3 linked regions of the Coturnix japonica genome follow. The main gene of each other region encodes a partner of the protein of the gene in region 3 in a complex. Links are inferred from orthologs where the notes say so. Each region holds a gene or a part of one and is shown on either strand. Other genes may lie near its edges.

Region 1 (4,357 bases), on a different chromosome or scaffold from region 3:
AAGCATTTACTGTGCGTTTATTTGCATCAGGCTTTTAAAGGCACAAAACATAAAGCCTTCCATACACAATATGGATACTTCAGGGATTTAAGCCCAGTAGAACAAGAGTTATATTTCTTTTTCTTTACAAATAAGGTACCGGTTCACCTGTAGGCATGATAGGTAACATAGATGGTTAGATGGAACGGGAGTGGAGTGTGTGAGTGTCGTTTCCTACTTGTGGTTTTGAATGCTACGACCTTAATACAGTGTAAAATGTCAGCATGGTGGTTCTTTAGGAGCGCATGGTGAGTTAAGCAGCTTCAAGTAGCCTCCCTGGAATATTTTAACTGTAAAAACTTGCCTCAAGAACATTTCTCCTGGTCTTAGCAGCTGCTGCCTCATTCACTTCAGCAAGAAGCTCGATTCAGTGGAGTATCTGCAATTGCCAATTTCCCCAAGAAAGTAAAAACGTTCCAGTGGACATCTTGTCTTGTCTGATAAGAGTATGAGTGTGTGTGGGGGGAAGTGAATGCCCTTGTGCAAGCACTTCATTGAGAGAGCTGTGCATTTTATAAATGCTTCTAGTCCAGAAGGTGTGACGATATTGTTGCTGTGACAGACTTTTTACAGTTCTGTGGGGAAAACAGTGTCTTGCATTTCCTTGTACAATGATTTGTACAAACTTTGTTCTTAGGCAATAAGAATGAGCTGCTGTTGAAACAGCACTTGCTTCAAGCTCTTGTTCCAGCGTGGGGTACTTCACGTGGATTTAAATGCAAAAGTCTGTAACCTGATCCATGCAAATATGTGAAATTTTATAATGGTTGGTAAAAGTTAATTTAAAACCAAAACCGATGTAGATTATGTGAGATTTTAGCACTATTTAGCTTTAAAGATTTAATATGATCGTGTTTCAACAATTTCTTTGAGAAGAAATATTGGTTCGTGCTCTCTTGAAGCGGACAGCTTTCCCTCAGTCCCACGGCAGCTAATTTTGTAATACGAACATTCAATGAACTACCTAATGAAGAGTAAAGGATCATTGAAACACTCTACCTGTCGTCTTTGCTTTGGACTCCATGTTCCTCTCAGCTAATGGTATATAAGTATCTCAGGTGCCCTGGGGAGGGCTCAAGGCATATTTTGTGTTGAAGAGCAGTTTTTTTTTCCCAGTCACTACAACTTCCTCAGCATTTTATAGGCATTACAACTTAACATGACCTCAGCAGTGGCCTGAGGACAGTGATGTGAATTAGCCTGTCGGGTGAGAGGTGGGAATGGAGTAAGGGCCTGCAGCCAGAGATGGATCTCTCATCACCAGCTGGAGATGGTATAGATGGAGGCTTTTCCTCTTGGAGCGAAGGCAGCCGCCGTTCTGCGCTGCTTACGGGCTGAGAGACCTCAGCCACTCCCTGAGGAGATCCAACATGGCGGCGCCCTCTGCTTCCCGCCTTTCTCGTGCGTGAGCGCGGGCTTGCGAGATGACGTCAAACGTGTGCGCCGCGTCGTCGTGAGTCACGTGGAGGCGTGCTGACGTCACACGCAGCGTCTCTACCGGTGCGAGTAGGCCGCAGCCTGAGGAGAGGGTGAGGGTGAGGGCTGAGGGGGGAACCGGGCCGGACCGGGCCGGACCGGGCCAACCGACCGCTGTCATCCTTTAGGTTGCCTGCCCTTCATTGAGTGAGGTAGCGCTATCGCGGAGTCCATGTCTTTTCTTGTAAGTAAACCCGAACGGATTAGGGTGAGTGTTAAACGGCGTCCAGCTCCCTCTAGCCGGTAAACCGGGCCGCGGCCTGTTGGGGGCCGGATGGAAAGCACCGTGTTGTGGGTCACGGGAGCCGCAATAAGAGCCGCCTTAAAGTCACGGTGCGAACGAGGGGAGCTGGGCCCGGCCCGGTACCGCCTCTATAGTAACATGTGTGTCTCCCCGAACCCAACGGGTTCCAAACGGGGCGCTGCTCATTTTTGCGTTATAAAGCGTCAAAGCGATCGGTGTCACGGGAGAAAAGCACTTGGAACGACTGACAGCAGCGGCTGCGATCACTGTGATGGACGGGCACTGTCACCCACCCAGCGGTGCTTTCCAGGGCCGCCCTTTTGCTTGCATTCAACGCCTCTGGCTGGTTTATCCGTTGTTTTATTGCCACGTTGTAACACGGGGCTGTTGGTGATTTGCTTCGTGCTAACAGCACTGCGAGCCTGAAGCTGCTTTATCTGTTCTGCTGCTCTTTGGATCACGGAGTCAAATAGCGCTGCACAAACAGTGCTGGCTCTGACATTCAAGCATGAATTCTGCAAGAGAACAACACTTATTGCAATGCTGTTTTAATTCTGCACCTAAATAGCACGTAGCCCAAATGCTTCACGTCCTCCAAGGTGTTGTCTCTATGTCAAAGCACTGATTTATGCACCCAAACGTTTATATCTTTGTATAAGGGAGCATTGCATGCTTGTTCTTTTTGCTCTTTGTGCACGTGTGAAAGCTCCTGTTTGAATAATGCACAATGAACCTTACTGTAAGTGCATGCCATTCAGGAGATGCAGTGTGCATGCTGCATGTGTGCCATCCTAATGGCAAACAAATAATATCCTTGTCTATGAGGTGGTTGTAACTGATGGGTTATAGACACGATAACGCTGTGTTATGATTCTGCTTTTAGGGGTGTGGGAGGAAAGGGGGGTGGTTTGTCCTTAAAGGAAGTAACTCCTTATTGGGGGATTTCTTTTCTCTTAGCGGTGGGTGTCCGAAAAGTTCATTGTTGAGGGCTTAAGGGAGTTCGAACTATTTGGAGGTAAGTTTTGCTCTCGTTAAGTGACCTTGATAGAAATGCCTTATTGAAGCCTTATTGTAGCCTGTTAATTTTGTAGAAGATATCTATCTAGTAATAAAAGAGATGGATACATCCATCTGTAGCACCAAATCTGGTTATTCAGGCTGACTAGCAATGCAGAGTTAACACAGATGCACCCAACAAGTCATTTGGAAATCAATTCCACACTGATGGCAGTTCTGTTTTCAGGCACTGCAGTCTGGTTTTGTTGGGTGAAAGAAAAGAAAGAGAGATTTGAGAAGGTAAATGGAGTAAGAATGAGTCTGAAACTGTTATTGAGAAGGTGAATGGAGTAAGAATGAGTCTGAAACTGTTATTGAGAAGATAAATGGAGTAAGAATGAGTCTGAAACTGTTCTGATGGCTCCCCAGCATTGTCTGTATGGGAGCTGATTGGTTTCTGGTCTGCTATATTCTACTAGGATGCAGAAATGTTGATCAGTGACTTAGTATAGGAAAGATATATATATATATAGAGAGAGAGAGATCTTCAAGCTTCTGCTTCAAATAACTAAACACCAGATTATTCTGTATTCAGGCTAAGTTTGTGTGTCATTCCTTATCTATCAGTTTGCTTTTATGTTGAACGTAAACAGCAGCCCTACTGAATCCCTTTGATTTTCATTCTTGTGCCACTGTTTGATTACTTGTAATGCAGCAGCCTTATCTGTAAGTGAAATATTTGTATAAGGATATATATTTGTAGCTCTTTGGTGTCGATAAGTGTGGGGTTATGTACTGAGTTCTCATCCTTATGTTCCAACTATATTTTGGATGGGTGTCTGTTGAACACAACTTGGTGAACAATGAATTTCTTTACTCCAGAGCAGCCTCCGGGTGACTCTAGGAGAAAAGTAAGTGGCGTTTGCAGGCTGTGGTGCTGTGGTTCATTGCATGGAGATTATCCTTGTGGAAGTTTGATTTTCTTTTTTTTCCTTTTGACCTTAGTTTCTATTACTTCATCTCTATACGTAGCTCTGCAAGCGTGGAGATGGGTTTCACCCTGGCATGGAGGTTTTGGTGTATGGTTTGCAAACATAGTGACTGGTTTGGAAGTTGGAACTTCCCCTCTTGGATTAGTGGTAGGGGTTGGTCCCCTCCACCCTCCTGCCCAGCCAAGAGTTTCTGTTTTGAGATTGTGAAGGTCTGATTTTTGAGTGATGCCCATCTCTGAACTGGTTCAGAATAAATGGATGAAGTTTGCTTGCAACGCTTCTGAAAACAGCCCCAATTTATGATTATTTTGGCCATTCTGAACCATATTCCCTTCTGAACACTTGGATTTTGATTTCCTTTATTTCCTCTGGGCAGCAGCTACATCAGAGGCTCCAACATCAGAAGCAAGTATGTAACTTTCAGTCTGATGTGACCTGACCTCCTGTTGCTTGGTCTTCAGAGCCATTTCTCTGCACACACACAGAGCTTTGCCTCCTAAAACCTAAAGCCACTTGTCAACATGGAATCTCTGCTCAAAACCAGACAGCCAGAACGGAGCTGCTGAGAACTTTGCCTTTGCTTTTTGTTCTGCAGGCCCTGATGACACAC
Region 2 (4,321 bases), on a different chromosome or scaffold from region 3:
TTGGGACTCAGAACCAGCACCATAGTCCTGACATCAACATCCCCCCTCGTGTTTGGAAGTATTTCTTCACTACCAGGAGAAAAAAGTGAAGTCCCAATAAATAAGAAACAATCTCCCTCTTCACAGCAGAGCTCTGGATAGAAGGAAAGGGGCAGGGATGGAACAAGGCGCCCATACCTGTACCAGAAAAACAAGAAACATTTCATTACACATTAACCAGCAGTTCACTCTTATTCTGAACTCGAGCCAGCAAAGGGAGGTCCCGGCGCTGAGCCCTGTGCCTGTTCTGTCACTATGCCTGTCACTGAAGGTTAGAAGGCAAACTCCAGGAGCTGACACAAGGTACAGGACGTGAAGTATCTCACAGCTGAGCTCACGAACTCAAACCAAACTGAGAAACAGAAACAAGACTCTGCTGGGTCAGAGCCCTGCGCTCAGCACGTCGCAGCACAAGAGTCCTCTAAACACCCCCCCCAAGTCCTCCCTCCTGCTATGAGATAAGCCTGTACAAACCATTGCGGCTGCAGGAGGCTCTCCCCTCCCAGCAGATAAACAGCCATCTCTCAGGGCTGTAATAAACAGCTTGCTGTGGGAAACAGGCTGCGAGGAGGTCTTCGTGTGCAGGGCACAATGCTGCTGAAAGGGAAAGTTCCACCTAACGAGTCCTGCAAATGAAGCATAACACCAGGCTTCTCCCCACAGAATGTTTTAATTAGTTACTTGTGCCCTGACTAATCAGTATGTAACTGGCACTTGGAAAACCTTCCAAGCACAGATCTTGAGTCACTGAAAAGAGGTTGACAAGCCTTGTCTCTATTTTACAGCTGCAGAAACGAACTGAAAAGAGCATTGAATCGCTTCCTAAACTCATTAGCCAGAAGAGAACCCAAGAATAAAAAGCCAAGGCTTGGTATGCCCACAATGCATGGGATCGCATCCCAGCACTGACGTGGGTGGCAGCAATCAGTGTGTGAAGAGTTGGAGAGCACAGCCCCTCCTGGGCACACAGACACTGCCCAGTGCTACTGCACTCCCATTCAGTGCAAGGAGCTGCCCCCAGGACAAGGTTAGGAGCCCTCAGCCACACAGCTGAGGAAGGAGGACATTCCTTAATACCTACACCTTATGATGAAACATTTCCAAAACATAAAGCTACGTATATATTTACTCACTTTTTCACATTTGCCTCCCCGTTGGGAATCCGGCGTAGCTTCTTCTTCTTCAGAATTTTCACAGCTCTCCTACAGAGGGTTTCAGAGTCCAGCATCTCCTTGACTTTGCCATAAGATCCTTCTCCAAGCAAGTCTCCCATCAAGTACTTGCCAATGAGCTTGGCCCTTTTCCGCCGTGGTTGGTAGATGACTTCAGTCGAGTCGATGCGATGGATAAAAGTGTCCATCCCCACAGACATCAGCTCACTCTCTCCAAACATACCCAGCTGCTGAGGCTCCTGCATATCCATCCTGGATTAAGTTCTTTAACCTGTCTTCCTTAAGCTCCCAGGGTTTTAATCCTGTTTGTTTGTTTTCCAACACTCCCTTTTACTCCTTCTCGAAAAAAAAACATCCAGAAGATTGTACAAACATTAATTAAAAAACAAAAAACAAAGCCAAAAACAACAGAACAAAACGAACTATGAGCCGCTTCCAGCTCAATTGGATGCTAAAAGATCCAGGTCTGCTCCAGTAACGGGTCTCTTAAGAAGAATATATAGCTCTGATCAGACACAATCAGGTTGGGACTCGCTTTGCTCCTGGCCTGGTCCCACCACTAGGGTTCTTTCAAGTCACTTCGGCCTTTGGCTTGGCCCAGTTTGTGAAGGTAAGTGCTAGGTCATCCTGGGGGACCTCAGACCATCACATAAAACAAACCACAGCCAAGTCTCGTTCGTGGCTTTCCATTCCCAGTAAATCACAGGCACCAGCTCCCAGCAGGACGGCGGGGGAAAGCGCTCCTGCCCTGCAGCCTTCACCTTCCAAGCACTAGAGCAGACGTTGGGGGCTTTTTTTTCAGCCGTTTGGAAGCTGGAACCAAGTTTCTTTGAAAGAGTTTTCAGCGACAATTCTAATTTCTTCGCTTTTCACGCCTACAAAAGTTTGAGGCCTTCGGTGCCTATTGAGATCTCCCAGGGGCATCCTTCAGCCACCTGGATTGCGCCTGGCACATGATGTGTCACCGCTGCTGCTGCTCCCAGGGTCAGCGGGTGTTGGACAACCAAACCCCACCGGCAGCCAGCCAAACCCCAGAGCTGCACAGACACAACAGGGAGCACAACAACTCAAGAAGCGACACCCCCCTGTGCCAGCCGCCCCCTGCACCCCATTCCCTACTCAAAGGAAGGAAGTGAAGGAAGGGGAACCGACACTTCACGGGTCAACCCTACAGGTGTCAGCCGGGCCGGAGGTAACAGCACGGACACGGGGATGGAGAGAGGTGACAACAGAAGGCTCCAAACGCTGCTGGGCCGCGAGGACGCTACCGGTACCACCACCGGGCTCCGTGAGCTGGGAGGGGCCCACGACAGGCCCTTCCCCGTGCACCGGCACCGCTGTGTCAGCGTTAGGCCCCGCCAACACAGGGAAGGCAGCGGGGCGGCCTATAGGCCTCGTCCTCCCTCCCCGCTACCGGGCCTCAAACCGGGCCGGGCCCCGGCTCCACTCTCCCTTAGGCGTCCAATCGTCTCACAGCGATCCCCACCGGATACCGTCCCCGCTCTGCCCCCTACGGACTCGCCTCGGGGCCCACTCCAGCCGAACCGCGCCCCTTTATCCCCTTTAACCCCGTTACCCCCTTCTCCGCCGCCGCCGCATCGCGCACGCCGCCGCCATTTTGTTTACCTCCCGCCCCCGCCCGGCCCCGCCGCGATCCCGCCGTTGCCCCCCCCCCGGGCCGTGCGCCTCCCTGGCGACCAACGTCCTCTCCCATTGGCTACCGAGCCGGCCCCGCCTCCGCGAGCTCGCCTTCTGATTGGCTACAATCATGCCACGAGAAGGCGGGGCCGGTTAGGAGGCTTTCGCTTCCGGTTGGTTCACAACCCGCCCTTTCACTCGGGGTGTGGGACGGAGCGTCGTGATAGGCTGAGAGAGCTGTCAGTCATAGGGGGCGAAGGGTGAAGGGGAAGTGGTTGCTATGGCCTGTTCAGTCGGGCCGGGCGGGGCCTGCTGTACGGCCCGGCCTTAAAGGTGCTTAATGGGGCCCTATGGGCTGCTCAGCGCAGTGAGGAGCCCAGCAGCCATCAGGCTGAACGTTCTCTGTGCTCTTGGACGTTAATGATGGTAAACGACTCGGTGCTGCCTTTACCTATAGGGTAACACATATATAGGGTACCTATAGGCCTACAGAGGTGAAATGAGGCCTGTATTAGGCTGGAAGGCAGCAGCTGCTTTCTGCTCTGCATTGTGTGCTATAAACCTCTGCTTCTGACCAGGAATAAAGGCAGGAGAGGCTTGAATGAGTCACAAGAGGCTCATGGTTCTCTGCTGCCCATCCTCGTGTTCATGGCAGTGTCCTCCATTCCACACAGCAGCTGGGAAGGACCCAGCTATTGAGCCTCCCACCCCGCCAGACCCTGCAGTTACCACAGGTACGTCCTCACAAACTGACATTCTCAAACCAGAGGTGCTGGTAGTGCTGCAGTCACTCTGCAGGGTCTGCAGGGTCTGTCATCCTGACCTTTTGGCTGTTTTCTGTCTCACAAAGGTGTTGTTGCTGTCTTTCTCCTTGCTGGATCCTCGCAGAAGCGTCTCAAGAAACACCACAGAGCAGCAAGAGCTGCCACCTCCTGGCCGAGTGCACAGCAGAGCTCATAGTCCTGCAGGGCCCCCGTGTGTTCCAGCTTCATTCTCATGCCCATGACCCTGCAGTGTCCCTGCTCTGGAGCTCCTCACATCCACAACCTTGCAGAGCTTGCCTTCAATCAGCTGCTCCCAGAGGCTGTGTCCTTGGGTATGGCATCACCTCCAGCTGTTGGCTTCTGCTTTTGGACGATGTTAGAATAAAACGGTTGAAAACATTAGGAAAAGCTTTTCCAATATGACCCACACGGTGGTTTCCTTGAGATTCCTGTTCATTGGAAGAAGTTGAGATTTTTGTTCTTTTGACTTTTGCACTAAGGGGTGTTTTAATCCCTTCTCCTGGAAGTGATTAAGCTCTGTGGGAATCTCTACTTTTATTTAAAGAGTAAGAGCAGCCCGCCAGCATACAGGGCCATACACACAAGTGAACACCAGCAGAACAAAGAGGGAAACCAGCACTGGGCTCCATGAACCCCTCTCCATCTCTGGGCAGCAGGAGCTCAGGGCTGAGGACACCAGACTGAGAA
Region 3 (3,557 bases):
TTTATCGGAGTATAACAAAAATCGTAACTGGTTCAGAGCAAAGAGCTGTAAATTCCCTCTTTGTTTTCTTCCATTTAATCAATGTTTAACAACTTGAAAGCCCCATCCATACCTTTTCTGCCTTCTTGTCAGATATATCCTGCTTTTCTAGAACTGCCATACTTTCCTTCAGGTTCTTCACTATGTCTGCAGGAGACTTGTGGGATTTGCCAAAAGGGAACGGCATGGTTGCGAGCCACCAGGTCTTCCTTCTACAGCTCCTGCTTCACCTGGAAAAGGAGGGAGAAAAAGGCATGTCATAAATAGATGCATGAGGCCACTGTAACAACACACATGAAGAGAACTCAGCAAAGGATTTATGTATGGAATAACCACCCTTGACAGTTAAACTAGAGTCTGCCATTGCAAATCTACATGCTAACTGTGCTTCTGATTCCAAAATATAGAAATTAATTATTACTCACATTAAAATAATTACTTTATGTCACAGGAAGAAATTGAAGAGTACATTAACCATATCCAAAGCCACACATGGTACAAGAGCCCCATGCAGGGGAGACTAACACATATAAGTTGTTGTAATCAATGTCATCAAGCAAAATATGTTTTTATATTAGGTTTTTGACACAAAGCATTGTGCCTCAGCTGCACTGCAATGACTGTCCAGGTACATACTTTCATCCATACTCATTCCACAACAAAAGCAAAGCTGACAGCAAGGCCTACTTAGTGCAGGAGCTAAGAGCTCAGTGCAGGTGAGCCTGCAGGCAGCAGCTCACACATAGCTCACAACACTTGCTATACCCTGATTTTCTCGTGCCTATATTGATGTAATTTCATTCTGAAATACTGCCTCTCCCTGACTCGTTTCATGGGAAGCTAACTTTGTCATCACCAGCAAGGGCTTAAAGAAGGCACAAGGAAATATTAAAACTAAACATCTAATCCACCTTTTTCAAATGTAATGGTAGCAATTGTCCTTCACTATAATACTTGGCTTCTGCAACCAAGTACATTTGTTCCTCTGTATATTTACATATATACATATATATTCACTTCTGTGTACAAAATAGACAAATATTATTAATATAAATCAGCGTACAAAAGCTTTTGTTACTGAACACATATGCTTCCACTTTAACAACAATAAAAACTTCTTACAAATGAAAGCACTTCTAGAACTCTAATCTAGACAGTGAAGAACAGGAAATCCTGCATTCAAAATGTTGCCAGCGCTGCTCGGGCTGGACGCAAATGCCAGTCAGAGCTGACAGAGAACAGATAAGTGTCGTAACAAAGAAGGAATATTAGCCTGAAATGATGAAGTTCTGCACTCAGACAACACCAGCAAGGTTATTAGCGAGCCAATCATAACCTTGAAGTTTCTTATCTAACACCAAGTACTTTGATCCTTGATTCAAATATTGGCTCATTTGCTGTGAACTTTATTAAACCTGATCCGCTCCAATCATGTTACACGAGAATTAAAAAGATTGATTTTACACTACTCCTGAGTTATGCCGATTTTTAACGCAAGCAATTTGGGCTGGCCCAAGGACGGCAGTTAAAAGATGAAGGACAGAAGTAACCCAACCCTTTGCCAAGAAAGCATCCATAAAAACCTGCATCAGGAAAGCAGTTGCACAGATGTTGCCTTCACCATTTCACACCTGCCACCGGCTGACAAAAGGTCTAAGTTGGGTTGTTTTTAAATGGGAATACTTGCAGATGAAAGGAAAAAATAACAGCATGAAGGTAGCTGCAAGATCCATCCACCAAATACTTCCAGTCTTCTCCAGATCACAGATACCTGCTGTGCTCTCAGCAGTAACAACAGGTTGTAAAAACAAAACTACAAACACCGGACAGATTCCTTAGGAGATATAAACCAACCACACATCACTCCTTAGGCAAGAGGATTTTATGCCTCAACTTTATCACATGTGAATGGAAGAACAGTAATTCCTTGGTCACAACTACATCGCTTCTAATCTAAAAGTCAACATGGATGACAGACGTAACATACTAAGAACAACAGCAAATATCTATTCTTAAGATCTGCCCAGTGTCTAGGCTTGCAAAATGGGACTTCCCTCCAGAGACTGCTTAACTGCTTCTTCAAATTAAAAATAGCCCTGCACTGACTTATGAAATGTACCAGCGTCGGCATAAATCGTATGCACGAGACATAAACAACTTTATCCACTAGCAGATCTATCAGAAGATAATCGATTAATAATAGCAGACGTTTATACTAAGCATTGTTCCCAAATTAGGTATGTTTCTGAATAATTTCTCATAAGCAATTTAGAAAACAAGGCAAAGAAGAAAGCAATCCACGCCCTCCATTACCAATGGTGGCATTCTGCTTCAAGGTATTTAATTTATTGCAGATAACAGAATAAATAGTATTTCTATTCCACTTGTATTACCAGAGGGAATGCGGCAGCACTGTCAGAAACATCCTCTGAGGCCTCAAGACTGAAGATCCAGCCAACCCTGCAGCAAAACTCTACTGACAGACCTGTGTCCATCCTGCCAAGAAAAGCCAGGCAACCTCTTGTCTCACAGAGATGTGCTTAATGCGGATCTGAGAACACACACCAGCTGTTCCCTCCTCAGCCCAGCAAAGCCACACCAACACCCTGCAACAATAGACAATGCCAATATCTGTGTGAGATCAGAAGGAGCTGCCACCACCCACATCTGCAGAGTGAAAAAAAAAGGAAACAACATCAAATGACACTTTCTGTGAATAACTGAAGAACAGACCTCACACCATGTCACATGGTAATTGCTTCACATCCCCAGCACCTGGATTTCCTGTGAACTCCTTACAAAGTTTTAATTGTAGCTTTACAAAGGTGCTCCAAAAGCTGCAGCAAGTCCATGGATGGCTCGGTGCTCTGCCGGGCTCCTTTGCTTTCCCTCACCTTCCCAGAGCTCCCTGCCTTCAGCTGTTTGTTGGAAGGGACCATGGGCAGGATTTTACAAGTCCCTGGACTCCTCAGGCATGCCTTTCATTTCACCAATATTCAAAACATAGATGCAGTAGCCCAGAGTCTTTTCTCTTTCAGTTGGGATCTTTCTCTTATGTGAAGAGTAAGAAACCATGCTGCCCATATAATAGTACAAATGTTACAATACAGGCCATGGTTACTCGGCAGTGGGAACCTTTGGTTTTGCTTTAAATGAAGCATGCTGTAAGAAGCACGCACTCCTGTTTCTAATTAAGCTCCTTGTTAGGTCATGGAGCCCAGAACTGCACAGTACACTGCAGGGGAGGCCACACCAACACCTCTGCAGGATGGCTGGCCGTGTCATGCTTAATGCCTTCTAACATGCATGCTGCCTTCTTGGTCTTTCAGCCAATGCTACCCAAGTGCTGTACAGAAAAATCTCCTTGCCCACGTTGTGAAACAGCCAGGTATGCTAACCTTAATTTCTTGTTCTATTTTAGGGCTCACAGTATTACATGGTATTACTCTTGCTTCCCTTAAAATAGACTGTGGTACATTAAGTGTTCAGCTAGAGCCTGCTGCTTTGTTCACACGAGG

The links. Proteins that work in one complex are often made in the same cells at the same time.
Region 1: the proteins of CAB39 (region 3) and STRADA are in contact, whole or in part, in a crystal structure (PDB 3GNI), measured with the Homo sapiens proteins. The link is inferred for Coturnix japonica from reciprocal best matches to the Homo sapiens genes CAB39 and STRADA. Residues at the interface, in NP_001124321.1 of Homo sapiens: Leu26, Glu27, Lys28, Gln29, Tyr55, Gly56, Thr57, Asn58, Ala85, Asp86, Gln88, Leu89, Phe92, Glu93, Lys96, Arg107, Glu138, Leu141, Ile145, Ser176, Thr177, Phe178, Asp179, Ser182, Asp183, Glu221, Asn222, Tyr223, Val224, Arg227; in NP_001003787.1 of Homo sapiens: Pro64, Leu104, Glu105, Cys107, Ser108, Asn109, Val112, Gln116, Leu119, His120, Lys123, Leu124, Phe125, Asn126, Thr136, Phe137, Ile138, Asp140, Asn141, Leu143, Tyr185, Met189, His223, Gly224, Arg226, Val426, Asp427, Asp428, Trp429, Glu430.
Region 2: the proteins of CAB39 (region 3) and STK11 are in contact, whole or in part, in a crystal structure (PDB 2WTK), measured with the Homo sapiens proteins. The link is inferred for Coturnix japonica from reciprocal best matches to the Homo sapiens genes CAB39 and STK11. Residues at the interface, in NP_001124321.1 of Homo sapiens: Gln109, Gly111, Thr112, Lys196, Leu197, Leu238, Asp239, Arg240, His241, Phe243, Met246, Ile250, Val280, Ala283, Asn284, Pro285, Glu317, Gln318; in NP_000446.1 of Homo sapiens: Gln100, Arg103, Arg104, Glu165, His168, Ser169, Gly171, Leu201, His202, Pro203, Phe204, Ala205, Ala206, Asp207, Asp208, Phe234, Arg301, Ser307, Arg310, Lys311, Lys312.

Annotation. Positions count from the first base shown.
Region 1 is NC_029542.1:2,243,574-2,247,930, reverse strand, and holds the start of STRADA (STE20-related kinase adapter protein alpha), read left to right. Parts: upstream 1-1,535; 5' UTR 1,536-1,568; exon of another isoform or gene 1,569-1,643; 5' UTR 1,644-1,687; coding exon 1,688-1,723; exon of another isoform or gene 1,724-2,274; intron 2,275-2,716; coding exon 2,717-2,774; intron 2,775-3,002; coding exon 3,003-3,055; intron 3,056-3,637; coding exon of another isoform or gene 3,638-3,666; intron 3,667-4,357. UniProt on the Homo sapiens protein: Pseudokinase which, in complex with CAB39/MO25 (CAB39/MO25alpha or CAB39L/MO25beta), binds to and activates STK11/LKB1.
Region 2 is NC_029543.1:2,065,030-2,069,350, reverse strand, and holds the start of STK11 (serine/threonine-protein kinase STK11), read right to left. Parts: upstream 2,823-4,321; 5' UTR 1,463-2,822; coding exon 1,173-1,462; intron 1-1,172. UniProt on the Homo sapiens protein: Tumor suppressor serine/threonine-protein kinase that controls the activity of AMP-activated protein kinase (AMPK) family members, thereby playing a role in various processes such as cell metabolism, cell polarity, apoptosis and DNA damage response.
Region 3 is NC_029524.1:4,200,484-4,204,040, forward strand, and holds part of CAB39 (calcium-binding protein 39), read right to left. Parts: intron 2,594-3,557; exon of another isoform or gene 2,433-2,593; intron 270-2,432; 5' UTR 227-269; coding exon 113-226; intron 1-112. UniProt on the Homo sapiens protein: Component of a complex that binds and activates STK11/LKB1. In the complex, required to stabilize the interaction between CAB39/MO25 (CAB39/MO25alpha or CAB39L/MO25beta) and STK11/LKB1.